5 linked regions of the Sus scrofa genome follow. The protein of the gene in region 4 purifies or fractionates together with the protein of the main gene of each other region. This does not show direct contact. Links are inferred from orthologs where the notes say so. Each region holds a gene or a part of one and is shown on either strand. Other genes may lie near its edges.

Region 1 (3,485 bases), on a different chromosome or scaffold from region 4:
GTAGGTAGCATTTGCTGTGGTTTGGGTATCCCCAAAAGCTGTGTCCTGGAGCCTGTCAAAACGGAGGTAGTGAGGGACCACCCGGCGGAGAACCAGGCTGCTCTGGATGCCCTCGGCCCCATGCTCCTTGCAGCCGCCCCACCCCAAGGCCTTATGGTCAGAATCAGCTGCCGCGGAGCCTGGGGAGACAGGCAGCTCTGCCCCCTCCCCCAGGCCCGGGCGCCAGGTCCGGCAAACGTCGTGCCCTGTGACGGTCCCCGCGTCCTGGCCACACCTGCGAGGTTGAGTCCACCAGGGACAGGAAGAGCAGCAGGCTCGTGCTGGGCAGCTGGTTCCTCTCCGCGCCCACCAGGTGGCGCCCGCGGCACGTCCTGCCCTCCCGTGCCGCCAGACTCGGCGCGGGTCCTAGGGCGGGGCACCTGGGTAACGCCTTCCCCCCCGCAGGTTGCTTTTTCGCACCTCCTCAGGTCCCAGGGCCTGGCGGTGGCCCTGTCTCGACCTTGGCCAGCTCTGGGCCCTTCAGGGTCCCGGTCCTTCCCCGTGACCAGGATCTGCTGGATGGACAGGGCTGGTGCGCAGGTGGCCGTGCAGTCTGGGTGGCCTTCTCGGGGCGTGGGACTGGGGCGAAGCCACCGAGTCCTGCCAGAGCTGCGTGGGGGACACCTATCCTCGTAGGCTGCCCTCGGGACCGCGAGGCAGGAGGGACAGGGCCCTCCACACCAGTGGGCCGGCCACCTAACTAAACAAGCCACGGAGTTGAAAAGCAAGTTTTATTGAGGAATTTGGAGGGAAAGTCTCATAATAGTAAAAATACTAAAGTTGAATATAAAAAACCGCCGTGGTGCAGCGTAGCGTCTGGCCGGAGGGCGGAGCGATGGCCCCTGCAAAGGGCGTGGGGCGGGGCCGCGGCGACAGCGGGAGGGTGAAGCTTCTATGAGGACAATTGCTAACCAGGGGAGCCATCGGATGGGATGGTCCCAACGGGCAGGGGCAGAGGGGGGCTTCCTTCTGAGATGAAGCCCCCAGGACGCGCGTGAACAGAGCAGGATCTCGCCCGGCCCAGCCCCACGCAGGGGCCGCCCGCCTCCAGCCCCGGCCAGGCCCCGGCCGGCGCTCCTGGCCCGGCTTGCTTCCGGGCCGAGTCGGTGCGGCCGGGAGCGCGGGCGAGGCCCACCCGGCCCGAGAGCGCGCGGCGCGTGGCCGCGCCTGGAGAACCGGATGAATAAATTAGGAAAAACTGCAGGGCGTTTTCCTCCCGGCCCGGCTGGAGGCTGGGGAGGCGGCCCGGGGCCGGGCGGGCAGCCCCCGCCACAGCCGCCACAGCGCGAGCCGCGCATCCCTGGTGGGAGGAGCAGCCCGGTGCGGCCCAAACGCGTCCAGAAACAAAACCCATTAAATACAGGAGGTCCGAGCGCGGCTTCCCGCCTCCCTTCGAAGCCGTCGTCCGGAGAGCGCGCCCGGCTGGCCGCCTCAGGCCGTGCCGCTGGCCGAGTAGGAGAACTGGGGGAAGTGAGGCCTCCGCTCGCTGTCCACGCCCTCCATGCTGTCGTCTGCGGGCACGCGCGGGGCGGCTCAGAGCCCGGGCACCAGCGAGACCCCAGCGCCCGGCAGGCTCGCCTCCTCGCCCCGCGAGGCCCTCCTGCCGCGGCCGCCACCCCCCAAAGGCAGCCTTCCCGAGGGCCGCTGGACGGCCGGCCTCCCACCGAGGGCAGCGCCGAGGGATGGTGCGCGCGCGCGCCCGGGGGAGCGGAGGGGAAGGCGCGGCCCTCACCTTGGTCGGGCGGCGTGATGGTGATCATCTGCGCCGTGAACTCCTCGTCGAAATACCTGGTGTCCGTCTCGGACGTGACCTGAGGCTTGAACGGTGGGCTGAGCTGCGGAAAGGGGGGCTGGGTTACAGACCCGGACCCGCCCGGACCACGGCCCCCAGGGAGCTGTGCCCCTGGCTTGGGAAATGACTCCTGTCTCCCAGGGGACGGTGTCCAGGCAGCCGTCCCCACCCACAGGCAGAGTTCTGGAAGGAGACCTGCACAGGAGGGGACCCACCTAGGGCCTAGGTGGGTGCCCCTCAACCAAGAGCCCGCAAGCAGTGTCACGGCGCCCCTGCAGGTGATAGGAGGCAGTGCAGCCCAGCTCCGAGGACCCCACCCCCGGGGCAGAAGGGGCCCTGGCCACTTTTCTTTCTCCAGCGCTCCTATTTTCCTTTCCGGGTGTCTCAGAAACCGCCGGCAGGCCCAGGCTGCAGAGGCTAATGCCAGACAAGGGGAGGGCAGGGCTCGGGGGCCCACTGCCACCCGGGAGGGGGCCCCGGAGCAGCCGGCCACTGCCCCCTGCCCAGGGCCTGTGCCAACCCCACCAGGTGCCCTGGGGAGGGAGGGGGATGCGATGCCCAAGCCCCGCCCAGGAGATGTGGATGGGGCCCCGCCCTCCCCTGCCCGCTTCCCCTCGGGGGGCCTGGTCCTTCAGGGGTCCACCGGAGGGAGTCTGGTGCCTCACTCGCAGCTCCCGGGTAGCAGAGTGGCCCTGAGCGTGGCCACAGGCAGGACTCCCAACGACGCGGAATGAGAGGCCAAGTGTAAGGGGCCAGGCTGGGGGGAGAAGCAAGCGCCCCACCCCACCCCCACCAGGGCCCTGGCCTGGGGGTGGGGCTGCCCTGGGAACTAGCAGGGACCAACAGGGTGGGCACTGCAGCCCCCAGAGGGCAGGCCCCTGGCCTGGAGCTGAGCAGGGTGGGGCACCCATCTCTCAGGGGCTAGAGGCCCAGCCGGCTGCGTGTGGCCTGCAGGCGAGGGAGACTGGAAATGGGGGCGAGGTGTGCTTGTGACAGGACGTCAACGAGCCCGGGGACATCCCCCTCCTGCCCCCAGCCTGCTGGGCCAGGGCCTGGGGCTCCCGAGTCCCTCAGAGGCAACGGGCAGAGGCACATGTTTAGGAAGAAGCTGCCTCGCTCCTCAGGGGCCTCCTCACGTGTGGGTGAGCAGGTGTGTGTGTGCAGGTGTGTGAGCAGGTGTGAGCCTGTGTGTGTGCAGGTGTAGGGTGTGTGAGACCAGGTGTGCCAGCAGGGGTGGGGGTGGGAGCAGGTGTGTGAGTGGATGTGCGTGTAAGCGTGTGTGTGCAGGTGTGCCACCGTGTGGGGGTGGAGGTGAGAGCCTGAGTAAGGGTGTGGCTGGGGGGGGCCGGCCCACAGGCCCCCACGCACCTTCTTCTCATACACATCCTGCCACACGATGCTGGCGAAGAAACGGTGCTGCATGATCTCCTTGGCATCCTCAGAGCCCCCGCCGAGCCTGGGGGAGACGAGGCCATGGTGACGGGGGCTGCCTCCTGCCCGGCCCAGAGCTCGGCCCTTCCCCCACGAGGTCTCGGGCAGCGGGGGACAGGCAGCCTCCCTGGGGCCCCCGGGGCTGAGCCCGCGGCTGGAGGGGGCGCCCACCGCTGCTTGGGGTCCTTCTTGAGCAGCCCTGAGAGCAGGGACTTGGCCTCGG
Region 2 (4,137 bases), about 62 Mb from region 4:
TTAGATAATATTTATAATAAACTTTCTTATCAAAGTTCCTCCTCAGAACACATTCTATAGAATGTGAACAATGGTGACCCAATAGCTTCCAAAATAATTAAACACAAGATATGAATCTGTAATAGAATGAGCTCAAGGGAAAAGCATTATGAGCACAGGTAGCCAAAATGTGACCATCGTAACTCCATTTCTGCAATGACACTTCAATACTCAGTATTTCAGTGAGTTTTGAATAGTTTCCATATTGAAAGTCTGAAAGTATCAATTTCAGGTGAGCAGTTTTAAGTCAGAAAATATTCAATAGTTAATCATTACTCTTTAGGGCATTTCCTCCATATCCTTCAGATGGGTTTTCCCAGAACATTCATGGATTTCCCTTAGGAAAAGGAAATGCCGCCATAAAGTGGAAAACAACCACAAACAGGCATTCTGAATTGGCGTGCTTCCTCAAACAGACCAAAGGGGGATTTGTGTGGTTTCTTTCAGAAAAGAAAGAAAATCGAGTAAGCATGCGGTGTTGGAAGAGGGAAACTCTGCCTTGTGAAATCACGGATCTTACCTTGAGCGATGGAAGGTAAGAGAGGACCCAGTCCAGGCTCAGGCAAAGCATGCACTTAGTAAGTGGCTGCAATCATCTTTAGTGATCACTTCGTAAAATTTTTCTCTACCAGCAGTTGATGGGTTCAAGAATGTGTATGCCATCATATTGAGATGGGGTGTTAGGTGACTAATAAAGAAGGCGAAGTTCTAGTATAGCATTTTAAATTAAATATGAAGTTCAGAAGACAAAGAAAAAAGAGATAGGGTACATAGGAATTAAAGGTATATGATATTTTAAGCAGCACAAAACAAAACTTAAAACTTTATCATGCAGTAAAGCTGAATGTACAGTCACCCAGACTAAGACAATTTAGAGAAAACAAAGTGTCCTGGTTTTAGCAGTGGTAATTCTCAGCCCAAATGTGACAAATTTAGGAAAAGTTATATTTTTTAATTTATTTAACAGATTTACTTATATTCCTTCTGAAATATGAAAGAAAATAACTCATACCCTAAAGGAAGGTAAGATACAATAATATGATGGCAGCCAATTAATATACATAAATCTATTTTTTCTGGACAGACACCAAATTACTTAAAAGGATTAAGAGACAATTCTAGAAGCAGCACTACCTAGAAGATTATTTGGCTTTTAAATACTGTTTTTCAAAGTGCTAGAGGGCAAGTCCAAGCAGGCATTTGCGGTCACATGCATATAAGTCCCAACAATTACTGAAGATGAGAAATTGTCACTACTATTACCATACAACTTAAAAAAAAAATCTATTCTAATTGCTCACCTGAAATGACCTTGAACAAAATCTCTAGAAGTGTGGTTTGCACTTTTTTTTTTCTTCAGACATAATCTGCTTCATTTTATAATCTAAGCAAGGCAAGCCTAGTACAACTGAGTAGGGGCAAGGCATCGTGTTTCTTACATGCAGAACATGGAGTTTTTCTATTTGGTTCCATCAACTCCCAGGCATTTCAGGCCCACGGAAGCAAGAGTTCCTTCACTGATGACAAGCTTGCTATTTCTAACTTATCATCGACAACCTTCAAGGGGTCCCGTTGAGGCATCCAGACTGCTGTCTGTGTCTGAGGCCAGGGTCTGCTCAGTGGACATGGATGAAATGTCATTGATAGATGACGACTGAGAAGGAGTGGCGTTGCTACTTACTGCTGCATCTGTGCTAAGAAAACCAAATATAATAAAATCTGAGGCACGACATTGTTGCAAATCCAGGCAGTGAGACTTCAGGCCATTTCTCAGCTTTTTCCTTTTGTAGCTTCCTGTACTAACTATTAGTATAAACAAGAAATTAGTTGACTGTACATTTTGAACCTTTCCTGGAGTCTTTCTTTAGGCTCAAAATCCCAAATATTCCTGTCTTCCCTTGCAACATTTCTTTTCTTCCCAATGGCTAGTCATCATATATGTACTTGTGTATAATCATGTTAACTGCTTAGAAAATATCTGCTGGTTTTAAAAAGATATTTTTTAAAAAACTGCTGAATTTATCCTAAAACTAAAAAAAAAATCTCAAAAAGTTTAATCCCAAATAGGATTCAAGTGTCATCAGACATTTCAATTATAATCATAAACAGTCCAAGGAAAAAAGTATCAACCTTTGCAGAATTCTTTTACAATAAAAATACCTTCCAAAATAAGAACTGCATACAAACAAAAAAAGGAAAAAAATTATAAAGAACACTGTTCATTTTATTTTTGCTTTTTAAATTCCCAAAGGCAAATGAAACCATCCCATTTCTTACTATCTATATTTTAGTCTGGTTTTAGCAAAAATAAAACATCCAGACTCTCAGAGGTCAGTCTTAAATTTGTGCTTTGTTAACAAAAAGCACCTAAATTCACATTATATTCATATACTCTCTAGACACTCGACACACATGTCATGAATAAGAAGTGCAATTTGTATTTATGTGTGTCTATGTGTGCGCACATTTCCCGGTAGGAGTGGAATAATAAAATAAATATAAAGAGTTTTGTTTAAGGTCAAACTCTACAAGACACAAGTTAACACCACATATATTATGTCTCTAGTAATCACACAATTATCTAACGGTTAGAATTCTACCACTAAGTAGATCAAGTAGAAAGATGGGAGAATTATATGAACGATCTTCTCGAAAGAAAAGTAAATTCCATTTTATCTAGATTCACGTTGATATTCTTTTTAACTGGTTAGGACCAGTACAAAGAGGGTCATACACATTGAAAAAGCTTTAAGAAGCTCCCTTGTGGTGCAATGGGTTAAGGATCTGGTGTTGTCACTGAAGCGGCTCAGGCTGCTGCTGTGGTGTGGGTTTGATCCTTGGCCTGGGAACTTCCACATGTCATGGGCATGCCCCCACCCTCCAAAGAGGGTTTAAATTCAATTTCCTTATAAACAAAACTGACAACAGTGTTACAAAGATGAACAAGCATGTTCTTAACACAGTTCACTGCCTGGCCCATCAGTAAAATATTCACTGCCATCACTGGGACAAACCAAAAAGGGGAAGACTATTTCACAGAAAAAATTTTCAAACCCAATATTGGTCAAGCTGGCACTTAACACACTGCTTCTTATAAAAACTAAATAGGGAAAGAAAAATAATATACAATCAAACTATTAAAGCAATCACTAACCTGAAGGTTGATCTTTTACAACACCATTCTTGTTTCTTTCTTCCCAATCCATTACTTCTTTGTAAATTAGCTCTTAAAATAGAAATGCAAGTTAAAACAGCTTCACCAGTTTCCTTGCATCTCTAAATCCTGCTTCCAAATCACACAGAACCACTCCAAGGGCACCGCGATGTATTAGACAAGTAATTTAGTAATATAGTTTACCTAGACTAAAACATTGATATTTGATCCATTACATCTTTTCAACCAACTGTTAAGCCAAAATGTAGGGTGGTTCTGGATCCACAAGGGGGGTTTACAAAGAGAAGCAAGCGTGGGGGCTGGGGACAGGGGAGAAAAGAGAGGGAGGGAAAGTATGAGCAAAGTGGCTCAAACAGGACAGTTTAGAGTATCAGATGTTCTCACACCTGTCTGCACATGTTTTTCTCCATCATTACTTGTGGTTCTCCAAACGTAACCCCTTCAAGGACGGCTGTGGCTCTTTCCTGGGATGTGGAAGCCGGTGGCAAAAATATCCGGGAGTATTCCAACTGAAGGTTGACATCCTGCTTGGGTCATTAGCACCAAGACCTGGCCCCACGCAATGGTCTGTAGGCTCCAGTGCTAGGACACCTCAGGCCAGTCAATGAGGCAGGAACACAGCCCCACCCATCAGCAGACACACTACCTAAAGACTTTCTGAGCTCACAGCCACCTCTAGACACACCCCTTGACATGGCCCTGCCTACCTAAGGGCCAAGACCCAACTCCACCCACTAGTGGGCAGGTACCAGCCCCTCCCACCAAGAAGTCTGCACAAGCCTCTAAATCAGCCTCATTCCCCAGGCGGCAGACACAAGAAGCACAAACGATACAATCCTACAGACTGTGGAAGTGAGTCCACAAACACAGGTCGGAACTTGCCCGGGGACCAGCTGGTCCCAGTCCTTAGGTGATGAGAGGGG
Region 3 (3,956 bases), about 55 Mb from region 4:
TGCTGGGCCGACATCAGAGCTGGTGCCCAAGGCCTACTGGGATTAAGGGCTATCCTGCCGGACCTGTGGCTGTCCGGTTAGGTAGGGGGAGGTTTCTCACACCGGCAATGGGGCAAGTCACTACAAACACCAGTCCCCCAGCAGCTCCCCCCATCTCCCCTTGATGCAGAGGCCTCATCCACCGGAATGGCCCACTCCCCCAGACCCCACACCCAAGGTCAAGGCTCACAATCCCTTCCCACTGCCAGGTCTTGCCAGGCTCAAGACACACCACAGACTCAGTGGATGAAAAGGGAGGGATTTTATTCTCAAGCATCTAAGGATTTACAAACAAGGGCATTTCATTTTAAAAAGGAATGGGGGCAATACTGGTGGCCTGAGAAGGGGTCATGGACCTGTGGGCTGGGCCAGGCCACGCCAGGCCCCTTACTGCCCGCTCTGCCCTCTGCCTGGTCCAGAGGGATGGCTGGTGACTGGTGACTTGGGGTAGGGGTGGGACATGGGAGAGGCAGGTGGGGAGAGGCTCCCACTTAACACTGAAGGGTGGGGGCGGGGGGACGGGTGGACACACACAAAACAGAAAATCAAGTTAAATAAAAAATAAACCCAGGCAGCTGGCCTTGGGCCTGCGCAGGCCCTGGGGCCAGCCACGCGACCTTCCCAGCCATCCACAAAGGCCCCCGGGGCTGGGCCTGGCCTGGCAAGGGAGAGCAGGGGCCAGGCCTGTTGGCCCCTCACCCTGCCCCCTCCCCTCACAAAAGGGACTGGAGAGAGAGAGAAGGTGGCCACCCCCCCCGGGGGGGGGGGCGGCGCAGGGGCAGAGAGAAGATGACTGCGAGTACTTTTTAAACATGCGGCATTTGTGACTATCCTAGTAGTAACTCGAGTCATGGGACAAATGGAGGGTCCAGTGATGCCTAGTCTAGATTGCTTCAGCTACAACCAGCGAGGTTCCTCACCTTTGGCGTTGGTTGGTTTTTATGGTTTTTTTTTTTTTTTTTTTTTTTTTTTGCTATTTTGTTTCGTTGTCCACTTGATTTGCATGCATCACCAACAAAAAGGAAACACACCCCCTCCCGCTCGCTCTGGCTGCTGCGCAGAACCCCGGGGATGCTGGGGCCCGGGGCCTCAGGGTGGGCTGGGGACTGGCCAGCTCTGGGTGAGTCGAGGGGCGCTCAGGGCCACTGCAAGGGCGTGACCACCTCCACACGCCCAGCCCTCGGCCTGCCCCACCTCTGTCCCTGTCACACATTCTCAAACCCATACATCCACTCCCTGCACCCTCAATCCCTGCCTCCCTGGGCCCCACGGACCCCACTCCTGTCACCCATTCCCTGTGCCGCCTCCCTGCCGCACCAGCACCTGTTGCCCTCCACCACGCCCCGCGCCTGCCTTCCCTGAAGGCCACCCTGTGTGGCCGAGGCCCTTTGGGCTCTCTCCACCCCTGAGGTCTTCGATTCACCCCACCAAGCTGTGGCCAGTCTCCAGCCCCAAGGGAGGAGCCCCCCCGGAGCCCACCTTTGGGACTAGTCTCTCCTGGGTGGTGGCCCAGGCCCCCATGGCTCGGCCCCCAGCCCCAGCCCCCGAGCCCCGACAGGCAGTCGGGGTTGGGGGGGGCTTCCACCACAAGCAGCTAAACATGACTTTGGTAAAAGTTTCTGAAGGTACCGACAAACCCCATTAAGAACAAGCTCTTCTCCGCCCCCCACCCCCCAAACACCCCACCAAGTACAATAAAATACAATAAACTCCAAAAAGGACCCCCTGAGATCAAAAAGAGAGAGAGAAAGAGACCAGCCCGGGCCCGGCTGCAGTCGCAGCGTCCACAGGAACGCCAGCCAACAGACTCATTGCTTGCCAGACACCTAAGCGGACCCAGGGTCTTGCCAGGGGTGGCAGAGCCCGGGCCTGGGCCAGGAGAGAAGCAGAGCCAGGGAGGGAGATGGGGAAAGCCAGAGAGGTAGAGGGAGGTGACAGAGAGGAAGGTGGGGCCGGGGTGCACGTGCATGGGGCGGCAGTGGGGACAGCGCAGTGAGTGCTGGAGGGTGCAGACGGGCGGCTCTCTCCTGGCCCCTGGGGCCGCCCCAGCCCAGAGGTTACAACTGAATAAATAGCGAGTCTGCTCGCGGCCTGCTGTCTTCCGTTCACAGTGTCTGTCGGGGTTCGGGGGGCGGGGGGGGGGGACGCGCACGGCCGGCTGACCCCGGGACGGGAAGTGCTGGGGCCTGACGGGCCCGTCTGTCCATGGCTGGTGGGCAGGGAGTCGGGGGTGGGTCGGCGCCCCCTACTTTCTGTCCTCAGCCCTCAGCGGCTGTCCAGGTCCCAGGGCTCCCCTGGCAGGCAGCTGGGTAACCCAGTGGGGAAGGGGGGCCTGTGGCCGCACCCTTGGCCCCCGGCAGGCTGGCCACCGCCACGTGGCTACCTGAAGAAGGGCAGGTGGTGCTGGCTCAGGACCCCGCTTGTCCGAGGCGACTCGGTCTTCGCCATGACATCCTTGAACCAGGATGCCACGTCCACCTCCAGCGCCTCGTAGCGCCTGATGAAACTGTGTTCCTGTGGGGCCCAAGGTGGGGGCTTAGGACAAGGGTGTCCAGCTGGGCAGGCAGTGGGGTGAGGGGCTCAGGATGGGGGCTGAGAGGGGCCCCAGATACTCACAAGTAGCTTATTATACTTTGGTCTCTTCCTGTGATCTTTAGTAAGGCTAGAAAGAGAGAGAGAAAAGGAAGTGAGAGTTGGGAGTCGGGTCTGGGTCTGCAAGATCTGTGGCAAGGAGCCGCCACTGCCCCCAGGCCCTGTGCTGACAGAGGATCCTGGGGTCTGCCCTCGGGCCCTCCGACTGTGACAGGCTCCTGCCTGCACTGAGACCCCCGCAGGAGAAGCGGCTGGGCACCCCCAAGGAAGGCTCCAACAAGGATGTCCTGCTCCCACAGTTCAGCTCACCAGTGTAGGACACTCAGACCCTGAACCCTGGGGCACCCTCTGCTTGTTCATAGCCCCCCACAGTGGAGCGCAAAGGCCACTCTGCCACATACCCACAGGGCCCGGTGTCCACTTAGGCTGAGTCCAAACCCAGCTCCCAGCTCCCAGGGCTCAGGCGCCAGCTCCTGCCTGCAGCCCCCAACCCCATCCGGGGCCCCCCCTCCCCTGCCCAGCAGCAGTGAGCACAGGGCCACCTCTGACCTCGCCCTGCTTCCTCACCAGTCTTTGACAAAGGACTGAAAGTCCCCCGAGAAGCCCATGTGACCGGGCAGGAGTGGGGGTTCTTCCTGCAGAACCTTAGTAAGAACCTCAAAATCCGTCTTGCAGTTCTTGTAGGGAAACTGTCCTGTCGCCAGCTCCACCTGAGAGAGAGATAGGCAGGGTTGGTCCGGCCGAGGACAGGGTTCTGCCATCCCTGCCGCCTGCGTCCAACCTCCAAGAAGACCCTAGCCCTGGCCTCCAAAGGCAGAGGCCCCCACTCACCAAGGAGATGCCCAAGCTCCACACGTCTGCCCGAATGTCGTAGTCAGGCTTGGTAGGGTCCGGGGGGTCGATGCGCTCGGGCTGCCGGTGGGAGGTGGGAGAGGGTGGATGGACCCATGGCTGGGGAAGGTGCATCGCCCACCCTTCACACCCGCCCACCGGGCCCTGCTGGGCCCCACTTACTGCCATGTAGGCTGCGCAGCCTGCGCTCCGCGTTTTGGCCTTGGAGTCGACGAGGCGGCCACTGATGCCGAAATCGCAGAGCTTGATCTGGCCCCGCTCATCCAGCAGGATGTTGGAGGGCTTGACATCGCGATGGATCACACCGTGCTTCTCCTTCAGGTAGTAAAGCGCCTTGACAATCTGCGGCGTGGGCAGGGGAGGGTACCAATGATGGCCAGGACCGGGCCTGGGGGCCACCTGCCCGCCAGCCTGCACCCCAGCCAGCCGCTCACCGCCACTGTCATCTTGCCCAGGATCCGCTCAGGGATGGG
Region 4 (4,137 bases):
TGCCAGGCCGAGGAGTTGGCCGCTAGCAGGGAATCCTGGAGGGTTTTGAGTGGAGGACAGAAGAGCAGTGTTTCAGGCGGTGCAGGCCGGCTGGTGGGGAAGGCCAGGGACAGAAGATGCAGGAGCTTGACTGAGGATGGGCAGACACAGATCGGGCACCTCTGGGTCAGACATCCCCATGGTCCTGCAGCTGTCCGGTGCTGGCTGAGTGGCAGGGCTGCCCTCTCTGGGTCTGGCCAGGCGGCCAGTGTGCATTGACCATCTGCTTAGTGCCCACCTCTGGGTTCTCCTCCCAGGGCCAGAGATGCCACCCTGCACCAGCCGGACAGAGCAGGGCTGCCCTGGCTTCGGGCTGGGCTCCCTCCCCAGAGACCCCTGATTCCACACCATGCCCACCCCCAGCCCTGGGAAGCCACCATCCTCGGGCTCCAGGTCAGAAGGGGCCTGAAAGAGCACTTTGTCCATCCAGCCCCCTGGCGCTGGTCAGAATCCCACTGTGCCCCTTGCCATTCCCTCTAGGGGCCTCCCGGCTTATGTCGCCCCGCCCCGCAGTGGCAGGAGACTCCTTCCCTCCCTTCCCTCCAGGGCCCGCACACCCCTCGCCCTGGCCTGTGCCTCTAGGCACTTCCTGGGTGGGTGCTGAAGTCTGAAGCCCCAAGAAGGGGGCAGGGTTCTGGCTGCACTCAGGCAGGCAATAGAAGCAGCCCCGACCCACCCCAGGCAGCCCTGTGTGGACGCCGCCTGGGCCCACAGAAACCTCCCTGATGGGGTGTGGGGGCTGAGCGAGTAGCTGTGGAGATGGGGCATCCACTTCTGGAGAATTTCAGAACCCCCTCCCCCAGTCTGGCCACCGTGAACCCTAATTGTGGTGCTGGCCCTTTAAAGCAGATCAGGGGCTGGCTTTTGGGGGGAAATATCCCAGATTTCTGCCATCTGCTTAGAAGCCTGGACCAGGGAGGGGGGCCACCCCATCCCCCGACAGGGGCATTGGAAGGGCAGGTGGAGCCGGTAGCATCGATTGCAGTAACCTGATCCCGCGGGGGAGGCGACAACGGCAGCGGCAGCGCAAAGGCCGGGGGAGGAAGCTGCCTGCAGCTGAAGGCTGGCTGGGAAGAGCTGGGGCCAGGCCGGTCCGCAACCGCTGCCTCTTCCCCCAGCCCATCTATTTTTAATGAGCTCCCCGGGCGTCTGCAGCGGGCAGGACGCAGAAAGGCAGGCCCAGGCTGTGGAGGCCCGAGGCCCCAGCCCTGCCCCGAGCCCTGGCCCCCCCACCCTTCTGGGCATGAGAGGGCGGCCCCGGGGCTCTGCAGCCCCCGGGCCGGGCAGGGCTCTCCATGCAGCTGGTGCTGAAGATGGATTCGAGCCCAGACAATGACAGCTGGTTGGAGGATCAGTGGGAGCGCTGGTAGGGGTGCGGGGACCGGTGGGGGAGGGGGGAGCTCCACTGAGCTCTGGGTCTCTGTTGGTCGGGTTGAGGCAAGAGGCCGGGGTGTGGGCCTCCGAGGTTCCCCTGGGGCTGAGCCCGTGACCTTTCCTAAGTGACCTTGGACCGGGGGGTCTCCCTTGCTGTGTGCCTCAATCGCCTCGTCTTATTGAGGAAAAGACTCAATTCTCCCCAACTTCCTTAGCAGAATTCTCCCAGTGTCCCTCCCACATTGAAGCCTGCAGAGTGTCTGGGGCTGGGGGGCTGGAGAGGTGAGGGGACCCGCAGGGAGCTCAGTGGCTGGGACAGCCCCGCCCTGGGGGGCTTTTAGGGCGGGCCGGTGGGTGGGGGTGGGGTGGGGGGGTGGGGAGAGGGTCCCAGGACACCCAGTTAGAGATTCGATGCTGAAGCGCTGAAGCGCTTGGGTCTGCCTCTGAGCCCAGGCCACCTCCACCTTCCCTGACCCCCGCTGTTCAGGGCCCAGAGGCTGGGGCAGGAGGATTGGGGGTGTGCGCTGATGGGACCAAGAACAGAATGGGGCACGGTCTTTCCTAGAACAGCTAAAACCACCCACATTGACCCCTGCATTCCCGTGCCTCGCTCCCAGGGCTTATGAGGCATGGGACTTCCTGGGCTGGGGACATGGAGTGCTGCTCCAAGGTGGAGCAGGGCCTCTGCCAGTACCTCAGGTTTGGTCACGGCACAGATTGTACAGGGAACCCCCACTCCAGGCATCCTTTGGAGACTCTTCTCATCTCTCTCTGTCCCCTCTGTGGCTGAACTGGCCTTGGCACCTGCCTTGACCCTGGAAGCCATTTCTCTGGCAGAGCCTCAGCTCTGACCAGCTGGGCCTTCTAGGCAGGGCCTCCTGCTTGGCAGCAGGGTGGACATCTCCCAGCCCAGAGGAGCTGGAATAACCCGGGGCCTCCCTTTCCACTGCCCCCCCCCCCCGGAGGCCTGCCTTTTGACTCGAGCCCCAAACTCTTTCCCTTTCTGTTCAGTACCCCTTGCACTGGTGCAGGGGGAGCCCAGGTCCCATCCTCTGGGGGCTGCGATCTGCCTTCGAGGGGCTGTCCCTTGGAAGAGCTATTAGGGAGACATCAGAAGGCCTCAGTCCGCTGACAACAGTCCCTTGAGTGGTAACTCTGGCTTTCTGTCCCCATCAGGCTCACCCATGACATCAGCCTGGAGGAGTTTGAAGATGAAGACCTTTCCGAGATCACTGATGAGTGTGGCATCAGCCTGCAGTGCAAAGACACCCTGTCCTTACGGGTAAGGGCGGGCTCTCAGGAGCCCCTGAGTGGGGTGGCAGAATGGGTAGGGACAGGAGTGAGAGCGCTTCTATATCTAGAGGGGCTTTCCGCGTCTGCGTGGCATTCTCATTAAATGAAATAACATGCAGGAAACATGCAGTGTGATGCTTGGCTCCTATCTTGATGGCTCAGATTTTTTAAATTATTTATATATTTTGCCAAGGGCAAAGGCAGGAAGCAGCTCCTTCAACTGCCCAGAAGGAAGAGAGCAGGAAGTCTTGAGGTCTAGGACAGTAGCAGTTAGGGCCAGAATTAAGGGAAGGTTTGGGACTCCCCTAATTCCTTTCCAGAGCGGCCATGGCAGAAGTCCTGAGGCAGAGCAGGGTGGAGTCTGGCAGAACCTGCAGTGCTTTGGGGCAGGACAAAAGAGCCAAGGCACTCCCTTGGCCACCACTGCACCAAGCACACCCCACAGCCTCGCAGACCCTCTCTGGCCCACAAAGGAGGCCTCTGGAAGGTTAATCCAACATTGCTGCTGCTTTGGGCCCCATGCCTTTGTCACAGGACAGATGGCTCCCACTCCCAGAGTTCTGAATCCCACAGGAGGTGGGGATCCTGGGCTGGATGGGGATTCTCCCTTGTCTTTCCAGAACAGGAAGAAGGGGCTGCTAGCCAGGAGAGGGAAGGCAAGCACAAGTCTAGGTTGCAGAGCCCAGAGCTTCTCTCAGCTCCTGGGAGGGTGGGTGGCCCTAGTAGACACGGTGTTGGGGGAATGGTTAGCAAAGGAGAGCTGCAGTGAGTTGGGTGGGGTGCCTGTGTTGACCTTTTCTTGCCCCCAGAGATTCTGCAAGCTCTGCCAGGCCAAAGGAAACCAAAGGGTGAGGCTAACCCTCCAGTACCCTGTACCCCAACCCACCACCCTCTGGCTAGGCCAGGCAGGGATGGAGAGAGAGGCTTTTTTTTTTTTTTTTTTTTTTTTTGCTTTTCAGGGCCGCACCCGTGGCATGTGGCGGTTCCCAGGCTAGGGGTCAGCCTTCGCCAGAGCCACATGCGGGATCTGAGCCACGTCTGCGACTTACGCCACAGCTCACAGCAACGCTGGATCCTTAACCCACTGAGTGAGGCCAGGGATCAAACCAGCCACCTCATCGTTACTAGTCGGATTCGTTTACCGCTGTGCCACAACAGGAACTCCAAGGCCATTTATTGTGGACCAGCATAGCTTCTCTAAGGTCATACACCTGTTGGGGACTCCCACACTGTGCTCTCCCCAGACTTACACAAGCTGAGCCTTGAAGAGGGAGAGGGTGGTCCTTGCAACCCGCAGGACCCTGAGGCAGTACCCTGTGGGGCCTTAGACAAGCTCCAGGGGGCTTTCACATAGTATTGCCAGTGAGTCCTCACCTCTCTGGGAAGCTGGTAGGCAGTTAACTGGTGAGGGACCTGGAGAGTCGGGGGATC
Region 5 (4,803 bases), on a different chromosome or scaffold from region 4:
TTAGAATCATAAAAACTTTACAGTTTCAGCACACATACACGCAATCACAGAATTAAAAATCTTTATATTTTAAAAAAAAGTTCCATTTTGTTCAATGTATCATAGTCAAATTTTAGTCTAATGAAATATGCTTCTATTAAATACAGCAGCCGCCACTTACCTTTAAATATTTTATGGATAAAGTTCATTACTGATCCAAGGATGCTGGCATCAAAGCCCTTACTCCCAACTATCACTAAAGTTCTGTATTTCAATAATGTACCACCAATTATTCTAGATTTATAATACCCTGTCTTTAACTTGGTATATGCCATCTTTTGGAAAAAAAAAATATTGTTTTTTTTTTTTTGAGATGAGATACAAGAACAAAATCATTCTTGAGGTTCCACCTCGGAAAAAAAGACGATGTTTGCACATAGCAGCTAGTTTGATACCCCTGTTTCTGTTAGGCTAGCCTTCACACAACGAGCATGCGTATACAGCCACGGTTCACTGCATCTGTTGTGAAGTTGAGAACTGCTGCTTATTCAAGTACAGATGCCCCCGTGTTATGCAAGGAGACAGGTGAACTGCATGTCCACCATGAGAAAAGGAAAATAAACGATGAAACAAATGCAGCAAATACAGGCAGCTGGCATTCAGAACACGCCAAAAAGCTAACACTCATGAATTGTCATTATAAGGGTCTTTCTTTCCTTAAAAAAGAGTCTTTCTTTGCATATTTTAAAATTTAACGGTCCCAGAGAATCATGAAGTGCCTTGTCTTTTTTGCTGCTGACTTCTGATGACCTCTAGTTGCTTTTTGCATTGCTGATAGTAAGTAGAAAGGCTTTTGTTTTCATCTAAAAGCTTTTTGTGTTCCTGTACCAGCCGAGATGTATTTTGCTGGTCCTTTTCATCCTGGTCCAGTTCTGCAACTAGTTCTTGCCTAAAAACAAATACAGCATATTACACATGATGGAAAAATTCATACCTTAATAACTGATGATGGAATCTCAATTTCAATTAATTAGAGCTTTTATTCTGCGTTTATCATTATGAACCTTAGTTACACTACTCAAATATAATTATGAGCTGGAATGGAAACTATCATCCACTCTTCTGCTGTAACCATACAAATATCATAATCCTTTTAACAGGCAACTGTATTTAGGTAAATACTGAAAATGGATAAAATGGTATAATAAAAGTTGCAGAAAATTTCATTTGGTATCCCTTTTGTGTAGGAGGGAAGAAAAAAGACTGGGAAAGGCTTTAACTGGCTACAGGGATATAACACTTGAAGTTTCTATCATGCACATTCTACTTCTATACTCATGTATTCATATTCCAAAGTCACAATCCTATTTAACTACAGTGCCAAATAGTAGTTAACAGAACATCTGCAAGCTAATTAAAATAGATGCTCTCGGGAGTTCCCATCATGGCGCAGCGGATATGAATCCAACTAGGAACCATGAGGTTTCAGGTTCAATCCCTGGCCTCGCTCAGCGGGTCAAGCAAGGATCTGGCATTGCCATGAGCTGTGGTGTAGGTTGCAGATGTGGCTTGGATCTGGCATGTTGCTGTGGCTGTGGCATAGGCCCGTGGCTACAATTCTGATTCAACCCCCAGCCTGGGAACCTCCATATTCCTCGGGTGTGGCCCTAAAAAGACAAAATAAATAAATAAATAAATAAAATAGGTGCTATCCAACTGAAATCTCTTTCCTACTTTAAAATAATGAGAAGAGGAGTTCCTGTCGTGGTGCAGCGGTCAACGAATCCGACTAGGAACCATGAGGTTGCGGGTTCGATCCCTGGCCTTGCTCAGTGGGTTAAGGATCCGGCGTTGCCATGAGCTGTGGTGTAGGTCACAGACACAGCTCGGATCCCGCGTTGCTGTGGCTCTGGTGTAGGCCGGTGGCTACAGCTCCAATTAGACACCTAGCCTGGGAACCTCCATATGCCACAGGAAGTGGCCCTAGAAAAGGCAAAAAGACAAAAAAAAAGAGAAGAATACAAAGTACCACTCTTAAAACACTCACTTTTGCAAATATTTTCAGGAAAGATCCTCAGAGTCTTTTATAGCCTGATAAATTTCTTTGTTTGGGGGATATTATATATCAGCTCATTAAGTGAGACCACTGGATATAACTGAATAATTAATGAAAAGTCCTCAAATAAAAATTTACTAGTAATGTTTCTTATCCAAAGTATTTAAAATCAATTAAAACTGTCATAGTTTTCACAGTGCCCCCATTACACCATTTTTTTTCCAGCATAAAACTCTTCTCTCAAATGATTTAAAGTGTGAAAGAATAAAGATTAAATATGTGATGACAGAGTTTTTAAAAAATCTTAATATAAAATGACAGTTCTATAATTAGTACTACAGTTTGCAGTCTCTAATTTCCTATCAGCCTTACCTTTAAAATATTAAGGTAAATTTATCTAAAATCATTTTATTAGTAAATTGTGAAAAAACTATTTTTGTTCCCTTTGGAAGTACCACCATAAATCAGCTTCATAGGTATAAAATTTCATAAAGGTCATGCTTAAAAAGACTGAAATATTGTTTTTAAGAATCTCAGTAGAGAAGTATGGAAATGGGACTGCATTGAAAAGGGGAGGAAGGCAGTCTATCTCCCAGAAAAACACTCACAAGTATGAAATAAAGCCACTAGTTAAGTAATTCTACTCTCTTCAACATACACCTGGAAAGAATATATTATCTACAAAAATGCTTCTAGGATAAATCACAACGGAACATTATATATCAAATTGTTTTATCTGTGTCTAAGAAAACAATAAATCTTCCTAAACAATAAATCTAAGCAGCTTTTAACTTAAAAATGCTGAAAACATCAAACAATGGTCATAAGTACCAGTTTATTTTCCTTAGTTATGTTTTCCTAATATAAGATATAGTCAAAAGAGTTGAATTTTTGCATGAACAATTAGCCAATGGGTGCTTAAAACTTACAGTTTTCATGTCCTAAGCAATGATGCACTTTAATTTAAACTCCAAATACTGATGTTTTATTTTTATTCATAAAGACAACTTACTTTCTCTGTAATAATAATGCAATTTCTGTTTGGACTTTCATATATTCTTGTGCCATTTTACAATGCTGTTCAAACACTGCCATAGATTCTTTGGAGTTTGGGCATGGTGCTAGAGGCTGAAAATAAATCAAGAAATGTTAAAACATAATTAGATCAAATCTCAATTATCTAGCTGAGAGTTAAGACAGAGACTGTGATTTTTTTTTTTATAGCACTAAAGCAATGATCATTTAAAAATATGTGTTAAAGTAGGCCTAGAAAATCTGTGTCCTTTTGTCAGCATTAACTCAGATCTTAAATTTACACTTGCTGTTTTAACACTTTCATTGTTACGGAGAGCCACAACTAGAGTACTCTGGGACTGTGGTTTTATGTTTCAGACTGTCAAACTTTATTATACTGAAAGATGTTTATAGCTCTCATTTGAGAGACACTGAAGTATATTATTTATATTTTCAGTCACCATGAACATGCCAAATTACCACAAAATCTATTAAGCAGAAATAAGCTTATATGAATTTTATATTATAATGTGCTAAAAATAAGGAGCAAAAACATTATTCTTGGCAGTCCTGAACAAAGATATGGATATTTTAAGATGATTGCTAGAATAGGAACATCTGATTTGGCAATTTTAATTTGATTAACTTAACTAAGAATCACTTATTTTAACTTGATTTTAAAATAAAGAGGCCAACTAAAAGCATAAATAAATGGATATAAAGTGACAGATAGGAACACAACCATCAGCTTTAAAGGTAAACTTCTCTAAAAAGGAAAAAGTAAACTTCGCTAAGAAAGTACTCCTTTACCTGTAGTTGGTGATCCAGTGTAAGATAAGCCATTGGGATGGAATTATCTGATCCATTGGTATCTGGAATTACAGCATGTATTTTATTTATTTTTTGTCATAAATAGTTACAAACGAAAAGCAAGAAAGCATGCATGAGGTGCTGGTACTATTTTCCCCAAAGTAAAAGAAAAGTTATTGTTACTGGTAATTTTTGAATTTAAAAGGTAAAAAAAGAGGACATTCAAATACAAATAATTAGAATACAACCATACTCTCATACCTACAATTTACATCGGCTATAAATGGGACTAGAACATAATGTACTAAAGCATGTAAGCCTTATTTAATTAAAAACAAACAGTGATGTGGGACCTTTAAAATATTTCTATTTTAAATTCAGTCTTAACTGCCTCTACCTAATCAAACCCATCTCTTTCTTTCCTGGATCATATTAAGTTTACTTAAGGCTGTGTAGATTCCAGCAACACCAGTGTTCCCTAAAAGGGAAAGGGTGAAAACAAGAGACACATTTTGTTTCAGTGGATCATCTTCAATTAGTGTGGGTTCAAATGTGAGCCGCCCATCCCACCCCTCCCAATAAGAATCACTGAAGAAAATTAGAGATGTTATTGATGGGAGTATATGACACACATGGATAATACGGAATCTGTGACTCAATTTCATGTCAAAAGAGTTAAATGGGTTAATTCAAACAACCCGCCAATTTTATCCAACTATTTAGGTTTTGTTCATATTTCAAAAGAGAATAAAATTGCCATAACGACTTGCAAGAGAAGCATGGGACTGTCTCTTTCCAACATTAACATTTATGTACAACAGCTCCACAAGCAGGCAGGGTAACTGAAGAGTGAGTGACACAGACTTTCCTATTTCAGAAGTAGCTGCTTTCCCATCTTTAATAGAGGATAAATGAGCTAAATGAGTGAGCTGTTCAGCTGTTTT

Evidence for each region.
Region 1: the proteins of MAPK8IP1 (region 4) and AKT1 purify together in Homo sapiens (affinity purification with western blotting; 3 studies listed by BioGRID). This does not show direct contact. The link is inferred for Sus scrofa from reciprocal best matches to the Homo sapiens genes MAPK8IP1 and AKT1.
Region 2: the proteins of MAPK8IP1 (region 4) and MAPK9 purify together in Homo sapiens (affinity purification with western blotting; 4 studies listed by BioGRID and IntAct, counting the BioPlex papers as one, with this or other methods). This does not show direct contact. The link is inferred for Sus scrofa from reciprocal best matches to the Homo sapiens genes MAPK8IP1 and MAPK9.
Region 3: the proteins of MAPK8IP1 (region 4) and MAP2K7 purify together in Homo sapiens (affinity purification with western blotting; 3 studies listed by BioGRID and IntAct, with this or other methods). This does not show direct contact. The link is inferred for Sus scrofa from reciprocal best matches to the Homo sapiens genes MAPK8IP1 and MAP2K7.
Region 5: the proteins of MAPK8IP1 (region 4) and MAP3K7 purify together in Homo sapiens (pull-down; 3 studies listed by BioGRID and IntAct, with this or other methods). This does not show direct contact. The link is inferred for Sus scrofa from reciprocal best matches to the Homo sapiens genes MAPK8IP1 and MAP3K7.

The regions. Positions count from the first base shown.
Region 1 is NW_018084979.1:3,039,524-3,043,008, forward strand, and holds the end of AKT1 (RAC-alpha serine/threonine-protein kinase), read right to left. Parts: coding exon 3,434-3,485; intron 3,288-3,433; coding exon 3,200-3,287; intron 1,875-3,199; coding exon 1,772-1,874; intron 1,551-1,771; coding exon 1,471-1,550; 3' UTR 754-1,470; downstream 1-753. UniProt on the Homo sapiens protein: AKT1 is one of 3 closely related serine/threonine-protein kinases (AKT1, AKT2 and AKT3) called the AKT kinase, and which regulate many processes including metabolism, proliferation, cell survival, growth and angiogenesis.
Region 2 is NC_010444.4:78,393,485-78,397,621, reverse strand, and holds part of MAPK9 (mitogen-activated protein kinase 9), read right to left. Parts: intron 3,266-4,137; coding exon 3,194-3,265; intron 1,734-3,193; coding exon of another isoform or gene 1,729-1,733; coding exon 1,586-1,728; 3' UTR 1-1,585. UniProt on the Homo sapiens protein: Serine/threonine-protein kinase involved in various processes such as cell proliferation, differentiation, migration, transformation and programmed cell death.
Region 3 is NC_010444.4:71,298,036-71,301,991, forward strand, and holds the end of MAP2K7 (dual specificity mitogen-activated protein kinase kinase 7), read right to left. Parts: coding exon 3,918-3,956; intron 3,826-3,917; coding exon 3,463-3,825; intron 3,342-3,462; coding exon 3,199-3,341; intron 2,702-3,198; coding exon 2,656-2,701; intron 2,554-2,655; coding exon 2,419-2,553; 3' UTR 975-2,418; downstream 1-974. Other genes in the region: TGFBR3L (transforming growth factor-beta receptor type 3-like protein), read right to left, coding at 1-14. UniProt on the Homo sapiens protein: Dual specificity protein kinase which acts as an essential component of the MAP kinase signal transduction pathway. Essential component of the stress-activated protein kinase/c-Jun N-terminal kinase (SAP/JNK) signaling pathway.
Region 4 is NC_010444.4:16,571,018-16,575,154, reverse strand, and holds part of MAPK8IP1 (C-Jun-amino-terminal kinase-interacting protein 1), read left to right. Parts: intron 1-1,030; exon of another isoform or gene 1,031-1,334; coding exon of another isoform or gene 1,335-1,405; intron 1,406-2,589; coding exon 2,590-2,695; intron 2,696-4,137. UniProt on the Homo sapiens protein: The JNK-interacting protein (JIP) group of scaffold proteins selectively mediates JNK signaling by aggregating specific components of the MAPK cascade to form a functional JNK signaling module. Required for JNK activation in response to excitotoxic stress.
Region 5 is NC_010443.5:58,484,263-58,489,065, forward strand, and holds the end of MAP3K7 (mitogen-activated protein kinase kinase kinase 7), read right to left. Parts: intron 3,922-4,803; coding exon 3,860-3,921; intron 3,164-3,859; coding exon 3,048-3,163; intron 929-3,047; coding exon 748-928; downstream 1-747. UniProt on the Homo sapiens protein: Serine/threonine kinase which acts as an essential component of the MAP kinase signal transduction pathway. Plays an important role in the cascades of cellular responses evoked by changes in the environment.